3 linked regions of the Stegostoma tigrinum genome follow. The protein of the gene in region 1 interacts with the protein of each later gene in a pairwise test. Links are inferred from orthologs where the notes say so. Each region holds a gene or a part of one and is shown on either strand. Other genes may lie near its edges.

The links.
Region 2: the proteins of guanine nucleotide exchange factor for Rab-3A-like (region 1) and rab11a interact in a two-hybrid assay, tested with the Homo sapiens proteins (2 studies listed by BioGRID and IntAct). The two-hybrid records come from large-scale screens. The link is inferred for Stegostoma tigrinum from reciprocal best matches to the Homo sapiens genes RAB3IL1 and RAB11A.
Region 3: the proteins of guanine nucleotide exchange factor for Rab-3A-like (region 1) and nudt18 interact in binary tests that used the Homo sapiens proteins (3 or more experiments, as listed by UniProt). The two-hybrid records come from large-scale screens. The link is inferred for Stegostoma tigrinum from reciprocal best matches to the Homo sapiens genes RAB3IL1 and NUDT18.

What each region holds. Positions count from the first base shown.
Region 1 is NC_081370.1:18,131,985-18,139,381, reverse strand, and holds the start of guanine nucleotide exchange factor for Rab-3A-like, read right to left. Parts: upstream 3,041-7,397; 5' UTR 2,767-3,040; coding exon 2,594-2,766; intron 1-2,593. UniProt on the Homo sapiens protein: Guanine nucleotide exchange factor (GEF) which may activate RAB3A, a GTPase that regulates synaptic vesicle exocytosis. Promotes the exchange of GDP to GTP, converting inactive GDP-bound Rab proteins into their active GTP-bound form.
Region 2 is NC_081386.1:35,467,140-35,475,119, forward strand, and holds the start of rab11a (ras-related protein Rab-11A), read right to left. Parts: upstream 3,058-7,980; 5' UTR 2,909-3,057; coding exon 2,869-2,908; intron 1-2,868. UniProt on the Homo sapiens protein: The small GTPases Rab are key regulators of intracellular membrane trafficking, from the formation of transport vesicles to their fusion with membranes.
Region 3 is NC_081393.1:15,506,005-15,513,675, forward strand, and holds the start of nudt18 (8-oxo-dGDP phosphatase NUDT18), read left to right. Parts: upstream 1-4,667; 5' UTR 4,668-4,786; intron 4,787-7,671. UniProt on the Homo sapiens protein: Mediates the hydrolysis of oxidized nucleoside diphosphate derivatives. Hydrolyzes 8-oxo-7,8-dihydroguanine (8-oxo-Gua)-containing deoxyribo- and ribonucleoside diphosphates to the monophosphates. Hydrolyzes 8-oxo-dGDP and 8-oxo-GDP with the same efficiencies.

The sequences.
Region 1 (7,397 bases):
TTTCTCCTCAAAGTTAATCTTTGATGATCTTATGTTTGCTTAGACTTTACACTTCATAGTAATACTTAGAGCACAAATGACTCTGAATAAGGTTTCTATTTGCAAGGGAACAGATTAGGATATCTGAAAAGAACTTGCAGTCCATTGTATATGTTTATATTGGTTGCAGGCCAAAGCTCAGTGAATGACAGAGAGTTAACCCATTTGTTTGAATAAGGACAACACAGCATTGGCCAAGGTGAACTTGGGGCTATTTGCCTATTGTGAAGAGCAACTATTAAACCTCAATTTATATAGATATACTTTTTGAATCTTTTCTCCTCATCCAGCAATAAAGTTCAGAATCCAGGCAACAGGTTTCAACCCTCCTTTCATCCTTTGGAAAGCCACAAAACTATATTGCCTACAGTTCAGATTACCACCACATGCAACACTGAGGGCGCATTTCCCTAAATAATCAACTGAGTGAACATTGTACATTACATTCCACTGCTCCAGCCACTCAGAGCACATGGCACATTTTGTCTAATGTATAATTCAGCCAGAAACCTCCTCAAACTACAGTTTATTGCAAGTGTTTTAAGCTTTAGGTTGCTTTAGATATTCTTTTACAGTACGAAGTATGCTACCACATGAAACGGTGAGGCAATTAGTGTAGATACATTTAAAGGAAAGCTAGATAAGTATAAGAGTAGAGAGAAATAAAAAGGGTATAGGACAGCTGAATTGGGTTGGGAAAGAGGCTTGTGTAGAACATAAACACTGGCAAAAGATTTGTGCCGCTGAATGGCCAGTTGCTGAATTGAAAGATTTTACATAGTTCTAGATATAAAATATCTAGTATATCTTACTTTACCTCACAGGAAATAACACTTAATGAGTCTTTGCTCAACGAATCTATTTCTTCTCTAGCTGTGCAAGTTTGTACCTATTTCTATTGAAATATACCAAACCATGTTAATCTTCTCAAAACTCGCCAAACCATGTTAAATTTCTTAGTGGTGCAGTGAGTTGGAAAATGGCATTGTATCTCTGTGAGTTGGAGTCAGGCCCCCAACAATTGTTGTCTCCAAGATTTATATAATAAATAAGCAAGGACATTCTCAGTTCAGCGCTAAGAGGGAATATGATCTACTTAAATATGCTGTGTACAAAATTACCAATTTTACTCATCAAGGCTCATAATAGAATGAGTGTCATCCCTGATGTAAAGGGTTTATAGCTGTATCATCCAGTGCGACAACATCACTCCACACCTTCACCACACACACACTCCCCCACCCCGTCGAGTCAGGTAGACCACAAGAAGAATGAGCATTTATTTTAAAGATTATTCCAAAGATGAAGCAATTAAGATTGTCCTTGGGTAAAAAGTGATTCTCTCTATAGGTAGTGGCATTACTTCCACATGAGGGTTTTCTCGTACAGACAATGATATTGTGAGGACTCCACCTATGTCACAGTTGGGGCATCAAGAAGGAAGTCCCAGGTAGTATTCTGAGTCCCAGACTTGGTTAAAGTTTACAGTAAGAAGCATTAGAATCAGACATTTCCTCCATAACTGCTTTATCTGCATTAGGAAGGATATCTAGCCTTAATAATTCTCTAGTTACATACTCTGTTGCCAACATATAGCACTGATAATCTTTAGATAGAGTACTCTGGTACTGTTAAATGTTATTTTCTTCTGTCTCACTATTTCTAATGTGGGAACACCTTGCTGTTGCTTGACTGTGCTGTGTGGCTGCCATCTTCTGTGGAGCCAGGTTCCTCTTGTAAATGTTCTAGACTATCCTGGTGTGAAACTGAACACTGATTTTCTGCAGAAATCCCATTGCCTCCTTTTCTTGATGCATATGGAATACCTCCCATTTAGTTGACAATATATATGATATAGAATGTCTTTGCTTGTCTGTGTTGAGGCATTCTGTGGTGCTATGCTACACATTAGTGTAAATAAGTTGCTCACTTACAGCATTATCTGTCACCTGCTGACTCTGTCATTTCTAGTCGCAGTGAATATCCTAGAGTTTGTATAGGATCAGTGGCATATGCAATTTTCCACACTGCAGATCAAAAGCAGTTGTCGAATCTTCACATGTAAAATGATAATATAATTTATTTAGTCTTTCCTTCAACACTGCCTTCTGTTTCAATGACTTGTCCTGCATTATTTCCCACAGTGAAACTACAAATTCCTGTGTGGCTCAGGTGTTTTATTTATTTATGTATTCCTCTTCCTCAAGCATTTGAAAAACAAACTTCTCCACATCTCTAATTGATTAAAAAATCTTCCTGCAGTGCTCAGGCTTCCTTCAACATTATCTCAATCTTCTCAACAGAGACGTCGTGGCCAGATTAAAAGTGGGCTTTGAACTGATTATTGTTCCATTTGTATTTCAGAAGCCACTCTGTGTAATTTTGTTGCCACACAGTTTGGTGACTTAGGACTGTGGAATGTCCCCGCATTACTTTGACTGACAGTATTGATCAGACTCTGGTCTGAAAACACGACAGTGCATAAGAAGCAATTATACTTTATACCCCCTCCCCAAATCTCCCCGCTCTGTGTTTATTTCACAATATTTCCTACCTGTCAATGGTTGACTGCTCTTCACTGTTTAGCATTGTGCAAGATTCCAGAAACTTTGTACCATCCGGACAGGGCTGTGTACACCTGCTGAGAGGTCCTGCAGGAATGTGAGGGGCAGAGGTGGTGCAATCCCCTTGAACTGTTTCTCCTGTCATCGCCAAGTCCAGATTCATTCTCTGGAAATTGAAATCAGCTGCATTTACCTCATAACCCTGTTTATGAGACCTCCCAGAGTGTGAACTCCTCTTGATCCCGGCTCCATCTTGCAGTCCCTAACTCTGTTTCCTTGTTTTGGCTTCCCGCATAATAAGGCAATGGAAAATTTGCACAGCAAAAACAAACTTGGAAACGTTTTTGGAAGTGAGTTGGTTGGTCGTAACTAATAACAGACACAAGCACCTCATACTCTCAGTCCTCAGCTGCAGCTTTTTACTGACGTAAGGACACACCGAGAGACGCTTTGACCCTTGGCCAGTCAGACACAGGCTGTAATAAGAACCAGCTTCATTTGTTATTGCCCCGTAATAATTAACTCCAGGCGACAAAAGCTAAGCAATGAAATACTCTCAGGAAAGACTGAAAGAAAAGAGATAAATAAGCTTCAAGTCTACAGCCAATCTTAAATCCAGAGATTTATTAATGCAGGGATGCCATGGCCTAGTAGTATTACCATTAGACTATTAATCCAAAAACTCAGCTAATATTTGAATCCCGTCATGGCAGATGGTGGAGTTTAAATTCAATAAAAATATCAGAAATTAAGAATCTACAGATGGCCATTAGATGATTGTTGATTGGTGGGAAAATCCATCTGGCTCACAAAGTCCTTCAGGGAAGGAAACCGCCATCCTCACCCAGCCAGGCCTACATGTAACTCCAGATCCATAACAAAGCGGTTAACTCTCAACTGCCTTGTGGGCATTTAGGGATGGGCAATGTTGCCCTTTTACCCCAGCAAAATATCGGCAATCACAAAGTTTGAGAGACTAGTTCTAGCAAGCTGAATAAGTAAGTCAGTTATAGTTGAGGAGGGAGAGATGAAGACAGAAAAGCAGAAAGTGTTTCCACTCCTGGTCCCAGCTCCCAGAATTGTAAGCCCCTGGTGGTCTGCAGGTTCATGCAAGTCACTGTTAATGCAGTATCAGAGACTGAATTACATCACTGGAATTTAAACTTTTGATAATTAAGATCCCTAGCTACCTTAAGAAGATGATCTCAATGCTCTCAAAAGCCGAGGAGTGAAAATGCTGAGGGATTTCAGTGCATAAGACCATAATTTAAACTTCTCCCCCAGAAGTTGATCCATTCCTCAATGAGTTAAAATTTTCGCCGGGCCAGACAAAGTTTATGATGAGTTAATTGATCTTTGTTCGAACTGCTAAACTCACAGAACAGGATTGCAAGAACATTGCCACCTCACTGAATCTCTGTCTCAAATATCAAAACATCGTTTGACAATGATGATGTTCATGGTTCATCACACCATAACTAAGGGCTAAACTGAGCAGCTTTGGAAAAAAAGCAGAGTAAAACAGCATATCTGGTTTTGTTTGCTAGGATGATTTAGTTGGTTTGATGAGACTAGCAACAAAAAACACATATTCGTAGAGTACCTTTAACACTATCAACCATCCTAGGATGCTTATCAGAACATAATTAAACAAATATGATATCAAGCTACACAAGGAGATATTGGTATGATCACAAAAGTATGTCATTTTCAAGGAGATTTTTAAATGTATTATAATTCCAACTGATAAAAATACTGGACAAGTCAGATCCTGAAATGAAGCCTGGTTTGATGGATCATATATGAGATCACAAGGTGCAGACCTGGTTGAATACAGCGGGCCAAGCAGCATCAGAGGAGCAAGAAGGCTGATTTTTCGGGCCTAGACCCTTCAGAAATGTGGGAGGGGGAGAGAGTTCTGAAATAAATGGGGAGACAGGAGGAGGCGGATAGAAGATGGATAGAGGAGAAGACAGGTGGAGAGGAGACAGACAGGTCAAAGAGGCGGGGATGGAGCCAGTAGAGGTGAGTGTAGATGGGGATGTAAAGAGGAGATAGGTCAGCCCAGGGAGGGTGGACAAGTCAAGGGGGCAGAATGAGGTTAGTTGGTAGAGATGGGGTTGGGGCTTGGGGTGGGAGGACGGGATAGGTGGGAGGAAGGACAGGTTAAGGAGGTAGGGACGGGCTGGGCTGGTTTTGGGATGTGGTAGGGGGAGAGGAGATTTTGAAGCTTGTGAAGTCCACATTGATACCATTGGGCTGCAGGGCTCCCAAGCAGAATTTGAGTTGCTGTTCCTGCACCCTTCAGGTAGCATCGTTGTGGCAGTGCAGGAGGCCCAGGATGGACATGTCGTCTAAGGAATCGGAGGGCAAGTTGAAATGGTTCACGACTGGGAGGTGCAGTTGCTTCGTGCGAAATGAACGTAGGTGTTCTGCAAAGCAGTCCCAAAGCCTCAGCTTGGTTTCCCCGGTGTAGAGAAGGCCACAACGGGAACAGCGGATGCAGTATACCACGTTAGCAGATGTGCAGGTGAACATCTGGTGGATGTGGAAAGTCTTCATGGGGCCTGGGATGGGGGTGAGGGGGGAGGTGTGGGGGGCAGGTGTAGCACTTCCTGTGGTTGCGGGGAAATGTGCCGAGTGTGGTAGGGCTGGAGGGGAGTGTGGAGCGGACAAGGGAGTCCAGGAGAGAGTGGTCCCTCCGGAAAGCACATAAGGGTGGGGAGGGACAAATGTCTTTAGTGGTGGGGTCGGATTGCAGATGGCGAAAGTGTCGGAGGATGATGCTTTGGATCTGGAGGTTAGTGGGGTGGTAAATGAGGATGAGGGGGTTTCTGTTTTGGTTGTTATTGAGGGGAGGAGGTGTGAAGGATGAGTTGCGGAAAATGCCGGAGACAAGGTTGAGGGCGTTCTGGACCACCGTGGAGGGGAAGTTGTGGTCCTTGAAAAATGAGGACATCTGAGATGTATGGGAGTGGAATGCCTCATCCTGGGAGCAGAGGCAGCGGAGCTGAAGGAATTGGGAATAGGGGATAGCATTTTTGCAGGAAGGTGAGTGGGAGGAGATGTATTCTAGGTGCTGTGGGAGTCGGTGGGCTTGAAATGGTTATCAGTTTCCAGGTGGTTACCAGAGATGGAGACAAAGAGGTCCAGGAAGGAGAGAGAGGTACCAGAGATGGTCCACGTGAACTTAAGGTTGAGGTGGAAGGTGTTGGTGAAGTGGATGAACTGTTCGAGCTCCTCGTGGGAGCACAAGGCAGCGCCGATACAGTCATCGATGCCACAGAGGAAGAGGTGGACTTTAGGGCCAGTATAGGTGCGAAAGAGGGATTGTTTCATGTAACCTACAAAGAGGCAGGCATAGTTTGGGCCCATGCGGGTAACCATGGCCACCCCCTTTGTCTATAGGAAATGGGAGGAATTAAAAGAGAAGTTGTTGAGGGTGAGGATGAGCTCGGCCAAGTGGATGAGGGTGTCAGTGGGCGGGGACTGGTCGGCCTGCAGGACAGGAAGAAGTGGACAGCCGTTAGACCATCTGTATGGGGAATGCAGGTGTTTAGGGACTGGACGTCCATGTAATGATGAGGTGTTGGGGACCAGAGAATCGAAAGTTCTGGAGGAGGTGGAGGGATCATGTGGTTAATTTTGAAGTTGGTTATTGTGGTTAGTTGCTGAAACATATTCACAAGAGGCTGTAGATTTTCTCTGATAAGAAAATAAAAGTTTATCACACAAAATAACAATGTGTATGTACAAAGTTAGAAAAATCTTAATAAAACAAATTTTCAACCTATTTGCCATCATTATCTACTTCAGAGACTCAATCCCAGAGAAACATCACTTCAATTTCAGCTATTTTAAATATAAAAACAGAAAGTACTGGATAAACTCAGCAGGTTTGGCAGCATCCATGGAAAGAGAAATAAAGTTAACATTTTGAGTGCAATCTGACTCTTCTTTGGAATCCAGCTTTCTGAAATCTTTACTTAGCTGGCTTTCCCCCATGTCTTTTGCTTAATCTATAGTGGCAATCTTACAATCTTTTTGCCAATCTGTACATTTCACAATTCTTATGGCCTTAAATTTTCTCAGTTCTAACAATTTGAAGATTTCTATCCAAACTCTCCTTGCTTGGAAGCCCCACAAACTCGAGACTGCCTCTGCTGATGATAGTTCCCCTGCACTGACTTGATTTGTTTTATACGTCATGGTATGAGGCCAGCGCTTACTGCCCATCCCTGTCTGCCCAGAGGGCAATGAAACGTCAACCCACATTGCTGTGTGTCTGGGGAGTCACATGTGGCCCAGGCCAGGTCAGAATGATAGTTGCCTTCCCTAAAGGACATTAAAGGGAACCAGATGGGTTTTCCCAACAATCAACTGTGGATTCATGGTCATCTGCAGACTCCTAATTCCAAATTTTTATTGAATTCACAATCCACCATCTGCCATGGTGGGATTCAAGGGTCCCCAGAACATTTAATTGGGTCTCTGGATTAGCAGTCATATGATAATACCGCCAAGCCATTATCTCAATTCTCCTGTTCTACCTTCGAAAGTGAACTCCGGGTTCTTCTGAACTAAAACTCTGAACTATCTGCTCTTAAGTCAAAACAAAACTAATTTTCTGAATGTGTTTCCTCCGCCTTTCATAAAACCAACAGTATAAATATTTTACCCAACAGTACTACAATGGTTCTCCCAGTCATTTGACTAAAATTACATTCTTTCTTGTAAACAATTGAGGTCACTGCCCAAATGACCTTCAGACCTGTTTAAAAAGAATTGATGCTC
Region 2 (7,980 bases), on another chromosome or scaffold:
TTCAGACTAGTGACAATCATTTAATGATCTTGAAATCGCAGTGAACATTGTATTTAAAAGAGCATCATCTTCACAAAATTCAAGCTGTTTTCCTCAGTGTTATGACAACCAAAGTTTAACTGATTCAAGTTAGCATTTCATATTCCTGGATTACAAAACAGGAAGCACTCAGTCTGAAGTTAACTACAGCAGAACAAATGTCAGATAGACCAGTGTCTGCAATACTTAGAGTGTATAAAAACCACACCATTGTCTGAAAATACAACTGGAGCCATGATGTCGTACTAGTTGCAATCCAACTTGTTCCATCCCATCACTATTGTCCCAGCTCTCCAAAAGTAGTACTCAGAGCAGTCCTCATCATGGTTTAGTGGGCTGTTGGGTCAGAGCAGTTACTCAAACAAGTATTAACACCAACACCTCAATTTTAGTATCATCTCTCAGAACAGTAATCCTCAGTTGATAATTGTACTCATTAAAAGCAACACACCCAGAACTGTTCTGTAACTTAAAAGCCCAAATAAAATGAGATGCCTTTGTTATGAATCGCTTTAAAATGCAAAGCATTTCCTTTGATGCAAAACCCAAAATCAGAATGTAAATAAAAAAGCACTAGAGATTAAAAATCCCAGTCTAAAATTGCTGGCTTGGGTGGTAGTGAATCAGGCCTCTCCATTTGTGCAAAATTGCATTTTAAATACTGGCACTGCCAGTAAACAGCATGACAAAAATCATTTGATGATCTTTTATTACGCCTTCATTTCCCAAAACTATTCCTTACTGCTAACTTGGCCATTGTTTCTCCCCAAATTTGTCACTTGGTACAAAGTGGACACACCCAACCATTCCTTTTTTAGAACCACTAGCCCTTGAACAGATTCAGTTGAATTCATGACGCAACATGGCTTCAAGGAAATCCGAACAAAGTGATCGCAGGTGGTGCCAAGAAATAGATTGCATCATTTAGCCATTGGTGAATTTTTAATTCAATTTAAAATTTCAACCTCGTAGAACATTCCTCCCTAGAAAAAAGTCACAAGCACAAGATTTCATTATTACTTTGGAACTAGTACAGTTTGCAATAAATTTATCAGGAATAAAGGAAGAGGTGGTAAGAGCTCAACAAGTACTCTGTAGACAGTACTGGATCCCTTTATGCTGCATCTGTTAGACGAAATCAGAAAGCCCAAGATTACAATACTTAGACGTCCATATCCTCACACCTGCTTCATTTGTTTTTATAAGCTACTCCAAATGTTACTCTCCTATACAACATAGCTATTTAAGTCCTTCCTTTCTCCAGTCCATTGGAGACCAGAAACTTTTCTTCCAACTGGAAGTGCTAGTTTCCAATAATCTACATTCAATCCACATTAAAAACAAGTTGTCAGTTAGTAGTGGCATTGCAATCGTTGTCAATTTTTTCACAAAAAGGATTTGTAATTTAATTCTAGCAACTCCCTATTCTGGAATTTCTGTAATTGCCAAATTTGCAAACAGTAAAATTAATTACAACAACATGAAGAAGTGGAAAATTGTGGTTATTCATAGGAGACATTCTCAAAGACATCAATGCTACTTAGCTTTGGACCAGCTGATCAGTGGTACACCATTGACAGGTGCTAAGAAACAGAAAACCTCCACTTGTTTCTGGTGTCAGTTCAGAACTGAATAGTGGATCCGCGTAATACTGATATTGGCTGCAGGCCCCAATTTTACTCCTCAGTCAGAGATAAGTCACAAGTTAAATGCAGGAAGATTAGTGATGACACTATTGGTACTTCATTGCTTTGTTACAGTGCTAAAAACACAGCTGTCAATTAAAATCCCTCAAAATCTTAATAGCTGCCACATTGTAGGGGTGGATGTCAGTGATCGAAGGTTAGAAGAATCAAGTGCCACAGACTGAACTACAATGTAGTACCTTCAACTGTTACCTCTTAAACGGTGAGTTATCTGTCTAGTCAGAATAATATCATGTTTCAAAGAAAGTTCAAAAGAAACCACTAAATATTTGACCCACTTAGGTTAAGTCACATTCTGTACACACACATGCCATGTCATATACAAGTATCTCCCCAACTACTTGAACCAAAAGTTCAAACACCACACAAATTGCAGTAGTTTGTTTAAAACTGAATTAATTTTCAGGCTTTGGATTAAAAAGAACCCCCATTTCAGTTGGCAGTCAAAAATGCACTAAGTGAAGTGAGCTTTATAGTCAAGAAAGTAGTAGTAATTAGCTACATTAATCTGGCAGACAAGGGTACAAACATTTCAGGCCTACCATTAGTCTATACAAATAAAACACAGTATGACAAATGTTTTCGAAAGCTGAAGAATGCCCAACAGTTGCAAGACAATTTAACTCTTCACCAGATCCATTCTACCGGAGTTCTTGGAGCTCACACCAATCCCTAAATTCGGGCCATTTCTCCTATATTAAAAACTCAGTTGAAGTCAACTAAAACTAACTCAGAATTAAGACATCGACAGTAGGCACTAAGGATGTTTTCTTTATAAAGGTTAAACACAGCAATGTCCAGTTTTGGGAAAGTACCTGCTACGTGTGAAGTATAACGACGGCCTATTCCCAAGTGAAATGCTCCCTCCTATTAATATGCAGCTCTCAGCAAAGTCTAATCATTAACAACCTTTTGGTTCAACAGCAACACCAACAAAGGCCGACGGGGCGAGAGGAGCGAGCCCCCAGGGAATGGGGAGATGGGCCGATGGGGCCTGGGTAAGGGGAGGGGGATTGATCGGGGGGAAAGAGGGCACTGATGCCCCATCAAGGGGCATGGCCCCGGGGCCCAGTCGCCCGACAGGGGGAAGCGGGCACCTCGCTGGCCGGGGCCGGGGACTCACCCTTGAACAGATAATCATACTCGTCGTCCCGGGCGCCCATCGCTCTCGGCTGAAAGTTCCACAGACTCCCGGAGCCGCTTGTTTCCGCTTCCGGTGCGAAGATCACAATCCGTCAGGAATTCTCCCAGATTGTATTTCCGCCCGACCGTGCCGGAAATTGTCAACAAAAAGGGAGCGAACCAATAGATTAATATACAAATAACACTGAGTCAATAAATAAACAATAACCAGGGTTAATCAATACATAAATAACACTGGGTTAATAAATAATAATCAGGGTTAATTAATACATAAGTAACACTGGGTTAATAAATAATAATCAGGGTTAATCAATACATAAATAACACTGGGTTACTAAATAATAATCAGGGTTAATTAATACATAAGTAACACTGGGTTAAATGTGTTAAGAAAGTCGATAATAAGTTAATTACTACGTTAACTAATAAATGATACTCAGTAGTTCAGTTCAATGATAACAGTCAACTTAATGAATCGTTTACAGTCTGATAATGTAAACTAAATAAATTAGTTAATAATAATAGTGGATTAATAAATTACTTAATACATGCCCCTGTAAGTCTGTTAATAAATGTATTAATTAGTCTTAATTAAATAATTAATAAGTGTATTAATATATTAATTTATAAACAAGCCTGTTAATAAATAACTGTATATAAATTAATAAAAGCTTTTGAAAAATTAGTTAATAACAGAGGCTTAATAAATTAAGTAATGGATTTGTTGATAAATTAATGAACACGAGATAAATAAATTAGTTAATAGTAACGGTAGATTTGTCAATAAATCACTAAGTTTGTCAATATCGTCTGAACCTCAAATCTTTTGGTTTTCGTTTGGGGCGGGGTCTGATACGTCATAGGGCGAGGCCATTAGATACCTTCTTTCTGATTGGACGCGGTCTGGGACCGTGACCGTGATGTCACTGCGGCGAGAAACATGTAGTTGGAGCGCCACCCAGAGGATGGCTGGGGTAACGATGTTCGCTCTGTTTCCCACTCAGACACCTCCCTGCACTTCCCATGGCGAACCCACACGTCTCCAAACACTGCAGGGTCCTCTCCTCATGAAGGGTGAATCTTGAGTCTTTCTGCCATATTGTGAGCTGTTTTCTTTCTGGAATGAGAGGGAGGCAGATATTACAGCAGGTGGAAAGGGATGGCACAGCTAATTCAGTTGGTACTAATGGAATGGTGTCACAAGTAAGTGAATAGACATCAGACATGTAAGATTAGGGGTGTTGGGGGGTTGTGGTGCGTGAGGGTGACTGAGGGAGAATGTCGCAGTCAGTTGTGAGAGTGGGAGAGTATGGTGGGAGGTGATTTATGATTTTATCATCACATGGATGTGGAAGCTTTGGAAAGGTTGCAGAGGAGATTTACTAGAATGTTGCCTGGTATGGAGGGAAGGTCTTACGAGGAAAGGCTGAGGGACTTGAGGCTGTTTTCATTTGAGAAAAGAAGGTTGAGAGGTGACTTAATTGAAACATATAAAATAATCAGAGGGTTAGATAGGGTGGATAGGGAGAGCCTTTTTCCTAGGATGGTGACGGCAAGCACGAGGGGGCATAGCTTTAAATTGAGAGGTGAAAGATATAGGACAGATGTCAGAGGTAGTTTCTTTACTCAGAAAGTAGTAAGGGAATGGAACGCTTTGTCTGCAGTAGATTCGCCAACTTTAGGTACATTTAAGTCGTCATTGGATAAGCATATGGACGTACATGGAATAGTGTAGGTTAGATGGGCTTCAGATCGGTATGACAGGTCGGCACAGCATCAAGGGCTGAAGGGCCTGTACTGTGCTGTTATGTTCTATGTATATTACAGTCAGAAACACAGTAAAATACAGTGAAAAGCTTTTCCACTGTTGCCATGATTTTGAATATTTTTAAGAATTAAAAAAGAGAGTCTGTCAGTTGTGAGCCAGCTCACCCTAAAGGACACCTGTAACGCCATCTCCCCTCCACTGCCTTGCCACCATCTACACTGGACCCAACCAACATTGAAATTGCCACTGTTCAGGTGACATGTTTTGCTGCTGTGCGGATTCTCCAATGTCACCACATGCACCAGGCCCAGGTGGGTGCAGTGTGAGAGAGTGAGGATGAGGTATCAGAGAGAAGATGGTGACAGTTATCCTGGTGGAGTGGAGAAGGACATTGACCTTCTTCCTACAGCATTGGGCATTCCTCGAAACACTGAGACTGCATTGACCCAAGAGTGGGGCTAAACTCAGTCCAGACTTTGCACGGCCCAGTGTCAGGGCCTCCTCTGCTGGTCCGTGGGGGAAGAGAACATCCCACATCAGCACCAACCCATCCTAGCAGGATCTCCAGCTTCCCAATCACACAGAGGGGCAGCGATTACCCCCTGTCATGTCCAGGGCAAATATCGAGAACCGTGCAGGTCAGCTCTGGATTGACAGTGCTTGCCCGGATGCAGAACAGGCTTTTATAGATGTTTTGCACATTTGGAGTTTGTGATTGTCCTCCCATTGAATTCAGAAGATGTGGTGGAGGCTGTGTGGTTGGAATTTCTTGAATATTCAGATTCCAGGTCTCACTGCTGTCCTGGATTATGATGATGACAGCTTTTTGTAAACTAGGAGCTTTGGTCTGCTGCAGAACTCTGTTATCTCAGCCTAGTCTGTACAAGGTGGATCTGGCACAGCTGAGCTAGTGATGGATCTACTTGTCAATAGTGGCTTTTTAAGATAGGTGCTGAGATTTTGCAAGTATTCTATATATTCCTGGACTCACATTCAGCATAAATGGACATTGAAATGTTTGGGTGGCCAGCTATAAATCCTCATAGCTACTAACATCAGAAGAAGAAACAGATTATCTGGCTGTTATTACATGCCTGTTTATGAATGTTTGCCGAGTGGATATTAGCTGCTGTGTTCCGTACATTACAACAGAGACTACACTTCAAAAAATGATCCATTTTCTGTAAAACTTTGAAACTGGCAGTGTCATGACAAGCACTGTATAAATGCAAGTCCTTCTTTTCAGGATCACCTGACTCCAAAAAAGCATTATTTTAGTAGTGTAATAAGCTTTAATTACTGGCAAGTAACTTGTGCCTCTGAAAATTATTTTTTCCCTGATATGAAGTTTGATTCTTTCAGATGTCGATTTTTTTGAAACATTTTTAAAGAAATTGTTGTGATTGAAAATCAGTTTAAAGCATAAGTAGAAATAGTTCAGGGATAATGGGAACTGCAGATGCTGGACAATCCGAAATAAGTGTGGAGTTGGATGAACACAGCAGGCCAGGCAACATCTTAGGAGCACAAAAGCTAACATTTCGGGCGTAGACCTTAGGCCTGAAACGTCAGCTTTTGTGCTCCTAAGATGTCGCTTGGCCTGCTGTGTTCATCCAGCTCCACACTTTGTTATCTCTATAATAGAAATAGTTGTTTCTTTTGTTTTCCATTTTAATCTAAAATTTCTTTCTCTCTCTTTATGAACCAGATTTGATAGTGAATCAAGTATTCCAGCAGAGACTTCACATTTAGATTCTTCAATTTGATTGGCTCCATAGTGACTTTCCTTCTTCACAGAAGTCAAAGGTGGTTTGCTTTTTTTTAGGAATTGGCTAACAGCAACTTTTCAATGCAAAATGTAGAAAAGGTTTGGTTGACAAGCTTAATATTTGCCCAACTCCAAAATCTGACCAATATTTCAAACTTTTTCTTTTAACAAGCATTTTTATCTGGATATGAGAAACTAATTTCAATGTTGTTTTTTATGTCAGATGCAGGATTTGAGCATTTTGTTTTTGGTAATCAATGTGACAAGCATCTTTCTGAAGGTGTAAAAGCCACTTCATCAGCTGTTAATGTACAGCCTTTGTGCTGCTTTTAACTTCCCATGTTTTAAACATGCATAAATCCAAATGGCCCCAACGTCCTAAACATGAATTTCACCAGTTTAAAAATCTCCTCATCCAGGCCTCATCATATGTCCAACCCCCCCCCATCCCTGCCTCCTTGACCTGACACAACCTGTCCATCTTCTCACCCACCTATCCACCCCTCCTACCTCACTGACCCATCCCTAACCTGCCTACCTGCACTCACCTATCACCATCCCACCTACCATCCCCAGTCCCACCCCATCCTCTCTATTTATTTTAGAGCTCCCTTCCTCCTCCCCATTTCTGAAGAAGGGTCCTGACCCAAAACTTCAATTTTCCTGCTCCTCTGATGCTGCTTGGCCTGCTGTGTTCTTCCAGCTCCACCTTGATCTGTCATTGATTGAAATTTTAAAGTTAAAATTTGATTTGATTTACTATTGTCACATGTATCGGGATACAGTGAAATGTATTGTATTGTGTGCTAACTGGGCAACTCATACCTTACATAAGTACATCAGGGCAAAAGAACTGAATGCAGCTTATGGTGTTACAGCTTCAGAGAAGGTGCAGAGAGAGATCAACTCTGATCTATAAGACATCTGTTCATAAGTCTGATAACAGCAGGGAGAAGCTGTTCTTGAATCTGTAGGTAAGTGTTTTCAAGGTTTTGTCTCTTCTGCCTGATGGAAGAGGTGGAAGAGTGTAACCAGAGTGATTAGATTTAGATTCCCTGCAGTGTGGAAACAGGCCCTTCGGCCCAACAAGTCCACACCGCCCCTTGATACATCCCACCCAGACCCAGACCCATCCCCCACACCCCTGAACACTACGGACAATTTAGCATGGCCAATCCACCTAGCCTGCACATCTTTGGACTGTGGGAGGAAACCGGAGCACCGGAGGAAACCCACACAGACACGGGGAGAACGTGCAAACTCCGCACAGACAGTTGCCCGAGGCTGGAATTGAACCCGGGTCCCTGGTGCTGTGAGGCTGCATTGCTAACCACTGAGCCACCGTGTCGCCCCTTGGACGGGTCTTTGATTATGTTGGATTTTTTCCCAAGGCAGCGGGAAGTGTAGATGGAGTCAATGGAAGAAAGGCCTTTTTTTTAATGTTGGACTGGGCTACGTTCAAAAGTCTCTGTAATTCCCTGTGGTCTCGGCAGAGCAGTTGCCATGTCAAGTTGTGATGCATCCAGATAGGATGCTTTTGGTGGTACATCTGTAAC
Region 3 (7,671 bases), on another chromosome or scaffold:
TGCCCCCTAGTCGTGAAATCCCCCCCAAGGGAAAAGACACTTACCATTCACCTTAGCTACATCCCCAATGGTTTTATTAAGCTCTATAAGGTCAGCTCTCAACATACTTTGCTGCAGTGAATAAAGTCCAAGCCTCCCCTTATAACTTGAGCCCTCCATTCCCAGCAACATACTGGTAAATCTTTTCTGAACCCTCTCCAGCTTACTAATAACCTGCCTATAACAGAGGGACTAGAACTGGACACAGTGCTCCAGAAGAAGCCTCACCAACGACCTGTACAACCTCAACATGACGTCCCAACTCCTACACTCAAAAGGTCTGAGCAATGAAGGCTAAAAGCCTTCTTAACCATCCTGTCTACATGAGACGCAAACTTCAAAGAGTTAAGCATCTGAGCTCCTACCTCTCTCTGTTCTACAACACTGCCCAAGTCCTGCTCTTGTGTATTTTCCCCAGATGCAATACCTCATGTTTATCCAGATTAAACTCCATCTAGTTGGAAATAGTTGGCTAAAAATAATGTCCATTTGTAAGGGCTTTCTTATGGACTTTCAGAATGCATTTGACAAAGTTCTTCAAAGCAGATGTTTTCAGATGAAAGGCAAGGAGATAAGGGCAACTGGGCAGTAGAGACTCATGGCTCAGTGTCAGGAAGCAGTAGGTGGTTTAAGGCTATGGTTTTTCAGTATGCAGTGGTGGTTTGGATTTTGCTCTGTTGCTCCACACTTTACACACAGAAGGGGCGATCAGGTTTCCTAGTGATATCAGCGTTGTTAATGCAATAGGCGGTGATCAGGACAGGCCTCAGGCTCAGTGAGGCCACATCCGGGAAGAGAAAGGTTCCAATCCTCACAACCCTTCACCTCCCCCGCCACAACCCGCAAGTCCTTGAGGACTCGCCTCCGAGTGAACTTGCCAAAACTCCGCCGAGGGAATCTCACCTCTGTTTCCCCTCAGCCCTCCATCCCACCCTCCACCCTCCCCGCAATGTCGAACACAGGGTCCTGAGCCCCACTTCCTCTCTCTCAGCACTGTCTGGATGTCTCCACGTCACACAGCTCACCATCCCCCACCCCACCTTCTCAAGGCGGTTGCGGTGGGGAGCTCTTCGCATGCTGTCTGACCTGCTGTGCTTTTCAAGCTCCACACCCATTGACTTCGACACATCACCTTGTTCCCTGGCCAAAATCTGTGCCTCAGGCTTCCTGCAGTGCTCCAGAGAAGGTCAGCACAAGCTGGAAGAGCACACATCATTTTCCACTTGGGAACTCTAGCTTTCTGCACTCAATATCGAGTTCAACAATTTTTGGGCTTGAGGCCCCTTCTCCCGTGTCCTTACCCCAAACCCCACACACCAGGCCTTGTTATCACATGGTCTGCTCAATCAAACTACCAATCGTTAGCTTCTAACAGTCCCCATTAGTAACTATTCATTCTCCCAAGTTGACTTTTATCCACTCCTTTGCCTGCCCAACTGTTTTTCTATCTCGGGCTATCATTTCCTCGCCCACCTACGCACTTTTCTGGATTTAAAAAAAACATCCTTTTCCTAGTTCCCATGAGTTCTGAAGAAGAGTTAACTCTGATTTCTTTCCACCGGGGCTGCCAGACCTGCTAAGTTTTTGCAGCCAACTTCTGTTTTTGTTTCAGATTTCCAACGTCTGCAGTTCCTTTGGTCTGTTCGATTGATTTTTTTAGAATTGGTGGGCTGTGCGTAGCCAGAGTGCAAGAAGGAAAGCGGCTGCAACAGAACCATTTCTCTGGGATCTTGCTGCTCCCTTCCATTGCCCCAGAATTTGAGGGGGGGGGAAGCGGGGGTAGGGAGCATAGCAGCAGGAGTGGCAGTGCCCTTGCACAGTTGAGCCACCCATAAACACCGGAGCCCCCACCCACACCCCATCAATTCCCCTCACACCTGGACCCTCAACACCAGACCCCGTTGACCACACGGAAATCTATTGTCGACTTGTCGGAGCACACCCTTCAACCAGACGGAATCAAAGTTCTCAGCTGAGGGCTCAATTTCTGCCCCGCTACCAAAACGGACCCCCCTGGTCTTGTGGCAGACACGGAGGAATTCATCAGGGGGCTGAGGCTCTGGGAATTCTTCCTCAAACCCCGAGATGTCAGCAGTGAGCCCAAACAGACAACCAACAAACCGGAACACAACCTTCAACTGAACAGACTGATCAAGACCTTTGATCCAGATCGTCTGATTATCCTATGCACTATCATCCTGCGCATTTCTCATGTTGGAGAGTTCTGCTGCCTTCCAAAGATACAAAAGCCAATACACCTGGACGTCCCATCGTATCAGGCAATGGGACCCTGTATGAGAACCTCTCTGGCTATGTCGACGGCATCTTGAATCTCACTGTACAAGGAACCCCCAGCTTCCGCCACGACACGACAGATTTCTTACAGAAACTCAGCATCTACGCACCAGTCAAACCAGGAACATTCCTTGTCGCAATGGATGTTTTGGTGCTCTACAGCAGCATCCCCCACGACAAAGGCATCACTGCAACAGCCTCAGTACTCGATACCAACAGACACCATCCTACAACTCATCTGTTTCATCCCTGACCACAACGTCTTCACCTTCAACACCCTGTTCTTCATCCAGACACATGGAACATGGGGACTGTACGTGCCAACGTGTCAACATTTTCACGCACAAGTTTTGAGCAAGACTTCTTTGCCGCACAGGATCTCCGACCAACGTTACACACCAGATAATTGATTACTTCTTTTCTTGGTGAGGAATCATGAAACAACTACATTGTGATATCGACAAGTTTCATCCCACCATCACACTTACAATGGATTACTCTTCAGAATCAGTCTCATTCGTGGACACACACATCTCCATCAAGGACAGATACCTCTATCTTATTCAACTGCAAGCCCATGGATAACCTTGTGATTCTGCACTTCTCTAGGTTCCACCCTAAACATATTAAAGAAGCTATCCCCTACGGACATACCCCGTGCATACACAGGATCTGCTCAGATGAGGAGGAATGAATCAGACATCTAAAGGTTTTGAAAGGTGCCCTCATAAGAATGATACACGATGCTCAACTCATCGACCATCAGTTCCAACGTGCCACAGTGAAACACCACAATGACCTCCTCACAACACAAACACAGGATACGACTCAGAAAGCACCCTTCATTGTCCAGTACTTCCCTGGAGCGGAGAGACTCAGAAAGCACCCTTCATTGTCCAGTACTTCCCTGGAGCGGAGAGACTCAGAAAGCACCCTTCATTGTCCAGTACTTCCCTGGAGCGGAGAGACTCAGAAAGCACCCTTCATTGTCCAGTACTTCCCTGGAGCGGAGAGACTCAGAAAGCACCCTTCATTGTCCAGTACTTCCCTGGAGCGGAGAGACTCAGAAAGCACCCTTCATTGTCCAGTACTTCCCTGGAGCGGAGAGACTCAGAAAGCACCCTTCATTGTCCAGTACTTCCCTGGAGCGGAGAGACTCAGAAAGCACCCTTCATTGTCCAGTACTTCCCTGGAGCGGAGAGACTCAGAAAGCACCCTTCATTGTCCAGTACTTCCCTGGAGCGGAGAGACTCAGAAAGCACCCTTCATTGTCCAGTACTTCCCTGGAGCGGAGAGACTCAGAAAGCACCCTTCATTGTCCAGTACTTCCCTGGAGCGGAGAGACTCAGAAAGCACCCTTCATTGTCCAGTACTTCCCTGGAGCGGAGAGACTCAGAAAGCACCCTTCATTGTCCAGTACTTCCCTGGAGCGGAGAGACTCAGAAAGCACCCTTCATTGTCCAGTACTTCCCTGGAGCGGAGAGACTCAGAAAGCACCCTTCATTGTCCAGTACTTCCCTGGAGCGGAGAGACTCAGAAAGCACCCTTCATTGTCCAGTACTTCCCTGGAGCGGAGAGACTCAGAAAGCACCCTTCATTGTCCAGTACTTCCCTGGAGCGGAGAGACTCAGAAAGCACCCTTCATTGTCCAGTACTTCCCTGGAGCGGAGAGACTCAGAAAGCACCCTTCATTGTCCAGTACTTCCCTGGAGCGGAGAGACTCAGAAAGCACCCTTCATTGTCCAGTACTTCCCTGGAGCGGAGAGACTACGCCATGTACTTCACAGCCTTCAATATGTCATCAATGACAATGAGTATCTTGCCAAGATGCTCCCTATATCTCCACTTGTCACCCTCAAACAACCGCCAAACCTTAAACAAACCATCATTCACAGCAAACTATCCAGCCTTCAGGAGAACATCAATCACAACGCCACAATACCTTGCCAAGGCAACCTCTGCAAGGCACGTCAGATCATTGATATGGATACTACTATCACACATGGGAACACCACCCATCGTATACACAGCAGCTATTCATGTTACTCAGCCAGTGTTGTGTACGTCATATGCTCCAGGCAAGGATGCTCCGAGGCAAGACTATGCAGATGCTACAACAACGGATGAATGGACACTGCAAAACAATCGCCAGACAGGAATGCTCCCTCCCAGTCGGGAACACTTCAGTGATCAAGGAAATTCAGCTTCCAATCTTCAGGTGAGCGTTTCAGCCCCGCCCCTAGCCCCATCTCCGGGTAATGACGGGCAGCTACCCAGACCAATCAGGAAAGAGATGCCGCGTCGGGCAGGGGGCACGGACGCAGTGGCGTCATGCCGCAGCCCGGGTGAAGAGCAGTTTGCAAGGAGGAAGGAAGCAGGGCCGGGAGCGTGCGGTGTCGCCTTGGCGACGGGGCCTAGTCGGTCTGGTGGAGGCCCGGCGCTGGACGGAATGGTCAGTTGATGGGAGGAGAACGAGAACGGGATTGGGGCGGGGAGAGCGCGAAGCGCCGCGCGGTCGCCATGGACCGACAGTCGGGTCAGAGTGAAGAAGGGGGGGGGTGGAGGTGGATGCTGGCAGCCGGTGAGAGCTGGACCAGCAGGCCGCAGGAGGGGGATGTGGTGCTGGCCGTGTCATTGCACTCGCACACACATCACCATCAGAACAGCAGGAGGCCATTCAGCCCATCGAGTCCCGGACCTGATCAGCCTCAAATTCCAATTCGCTACCTTTTCCCTGGATTTCCTTCCTGATTTAAAGCACATCTCTCTCTGCGTCAGCCCTCTGCGGCAAACAACCTCCCTCTGAGAGAGGAAATTCCTCCTCACGGCCGTCTCGAATGTGTGACTACACCCCTCCCCCTATCACTCTGTGGTGGCGTCCCTTTGCTCCAAGTCTCTTCCAGAGGGCAGGCCTAGTCCCACCTCTACATACACCCAGAACCACAGCCATGTGGTTGACCCTGAACACATGGAGAATGGAAAGAGAAAGTGAGCCATTAGAGATGTACAGAACAGAAACAGACCCTTTGGTCCGCACCGACCAGACCCATCCCAGTCTGACCTCGTCCTGTTTGCCATTATTTGGTCCATATCCCTCTAGACCCTTCCTCGCCATATACCCATCCAGATGCTTTTAACATACTGTAATTGTACCAGCCTCCACTGCTTCCTCTGGCAGCTCATTCCATACACGCACCAACTTCTGTATGAAAAAGTTGCCCCTCAGGTCCCTTTTCAATCTTCTCCCCTCTCACCTTAAATCTTTGCCGTTTGGTTTCGGAATCCCCTGCCTTTGAAAAACGACGAGAATTGAATGCGGTATTCTAAAAGTGGCCTCATCAATGTCCTGTACGGCCACAACGTGACCTCCCAAATTTTGTACGTAATGCACTGACCAATAAAGTCAAGTGCCAAATGCTTTCTTCACCACCCTGTCTGCTTGCCAGTCTACTTTCAATGAACTCTGAACCTGCTCCTCTTTGTTCGACAACACTCCCCAAGCATTTCAGTCCTGCCCTGATTTGCCTTACCCAAAAGCAACACCTACATTTATCTCCATCAGCCACTTCTCGGCCCGAGGAAGGGTCTAGGCCCGAAACGTCAGCCTTCCTGCTCCTCTGATGCAGCTTGGCCTGCTGTGCTCATCTACCTCTACACCTTGTTATCTCAGCCCATTAGCCCATCCATCCCTCCAGTAGATGCCTATGTGTAACTCATTCTCATGAATTTGTTATTTCTTCTGCACTGTCGCACTTCTGTGATGTCTTGTTTATCTTGACGCAACAGGAACGGTTTCCTGGCCCTGCGTCAAAATCGATGTAAGACTCAGTCAGGGCTCCTCTGTATTAACATCTCTTAGGAGTGACAGTGTGTCCCTCAGTACTGAACTGGAGTCCATGTTGCATGGATTTTTGAGTTTAAGTCCTTATTGAGTGGGACTTGAATCTACAAGAATTCTGCTTCGGGCAAGAGGGTACATCCAGACAGCATCTTGTGGGAACAAATGGAAAATAAATTACAGTTAGTGTTGATTTGTTAAAAGGCAAAAGTATGTGATAAACTTGAGTGTTCTTTGGTCAACTGGTGGGGAGATTGAGGGTGCTGCAAGTATATATGGACTTTCTAAAGACACAGGGCAGAGGTGATTAAACATTCAGGATGAATATTTTCTTCATAACAGCTTTAACAACCCTGCAATTTATCAACAGAAGAAGTTCAAAAACAATGTTGCTATGTTTAGAGGCAGTGTGTACCCATGCGTTTGGAAAGATATGGAGGACTTGCACAGGCATCAGAAGAGACTGACAAGTATGGTATCTGGCTTCTGTGGACAAATCAGGCTGGCCAGTGTTTATCGCCCATCCCGAGTGGCCATTGAGAAGGTGGTGGTGAACTGCCTTCTTGAACTGCTGCAGTCCGTCTGCAGTGGGTTGACCCACGATGCCGTTTAGGGAGGAAATTCCAGGATTTTGACCCAGTGGAGGAACGGCGATATATTTCTAAGTTCAGGATGGTGAGTGGCTTGGAGGGGAAATTGAAGATGGTGGTGCTCCCATATATCTGCTGGTTGGGAGTTCAGTTATGTGGAGAGACTGTTGACTTCATTCGTGATGTTGATAATCATGAAGTATTATTTTGGATGAGAGATATATCTTCAGTGGCAGTAACTAAGCACAAGCAAAGGTACTGATGTGCAGCAGCTTGCGAGACCTTGAGGGGGGCCGTGTGGAAGCAGATTCAGTAGTAGCAATCAAAAGAGAATTGGAGGAGGACTTATACAATTAAAAGTAGGGCCTTAGGGGTAGTGCTATAGAACAGAGAGACGTAGGAGTTCAGGTGCATAATTATTTGAAGTTTGTATCACATTAGACAGGGTGGTTAAGAGGCGTTTATCACGCTTGCCTCCGTTGCTCAGACCTTTGAGTATTAGAGTTGGGACGTCATGTTGAGGTTGTACAGAACATTGGTGAGGCATCATCTGGAGTACTGTGTCCAGTTCTGGTATGTATTCTGTTATAGGAAGGATACTATTAAGCTGGAGAGGATTCAGAAAAGATTTACCAGGATGTTGCCAGGTATGGAGCGTTTCAGTTGTAAGGAGAGGCTGGATAGACTGGGACTTTTTTTCACTGGAGTAGAGGCGGTTGAGGGGTGACCTTTTTGAGGTTTATAAAATGACCAGCGATACAGATAAAGTGAATAGCAGGTATCTTTTCCCGAGAGTGGGGGATTTCAAAACTACAGGACATATTTTAAGGTGAGAGGAGAAATATTGAAAAGGGACACAAAGAGCAATTTTTTTAATAAAGGGAGTGGGAAAAGCTCCTTCCCCTTAGG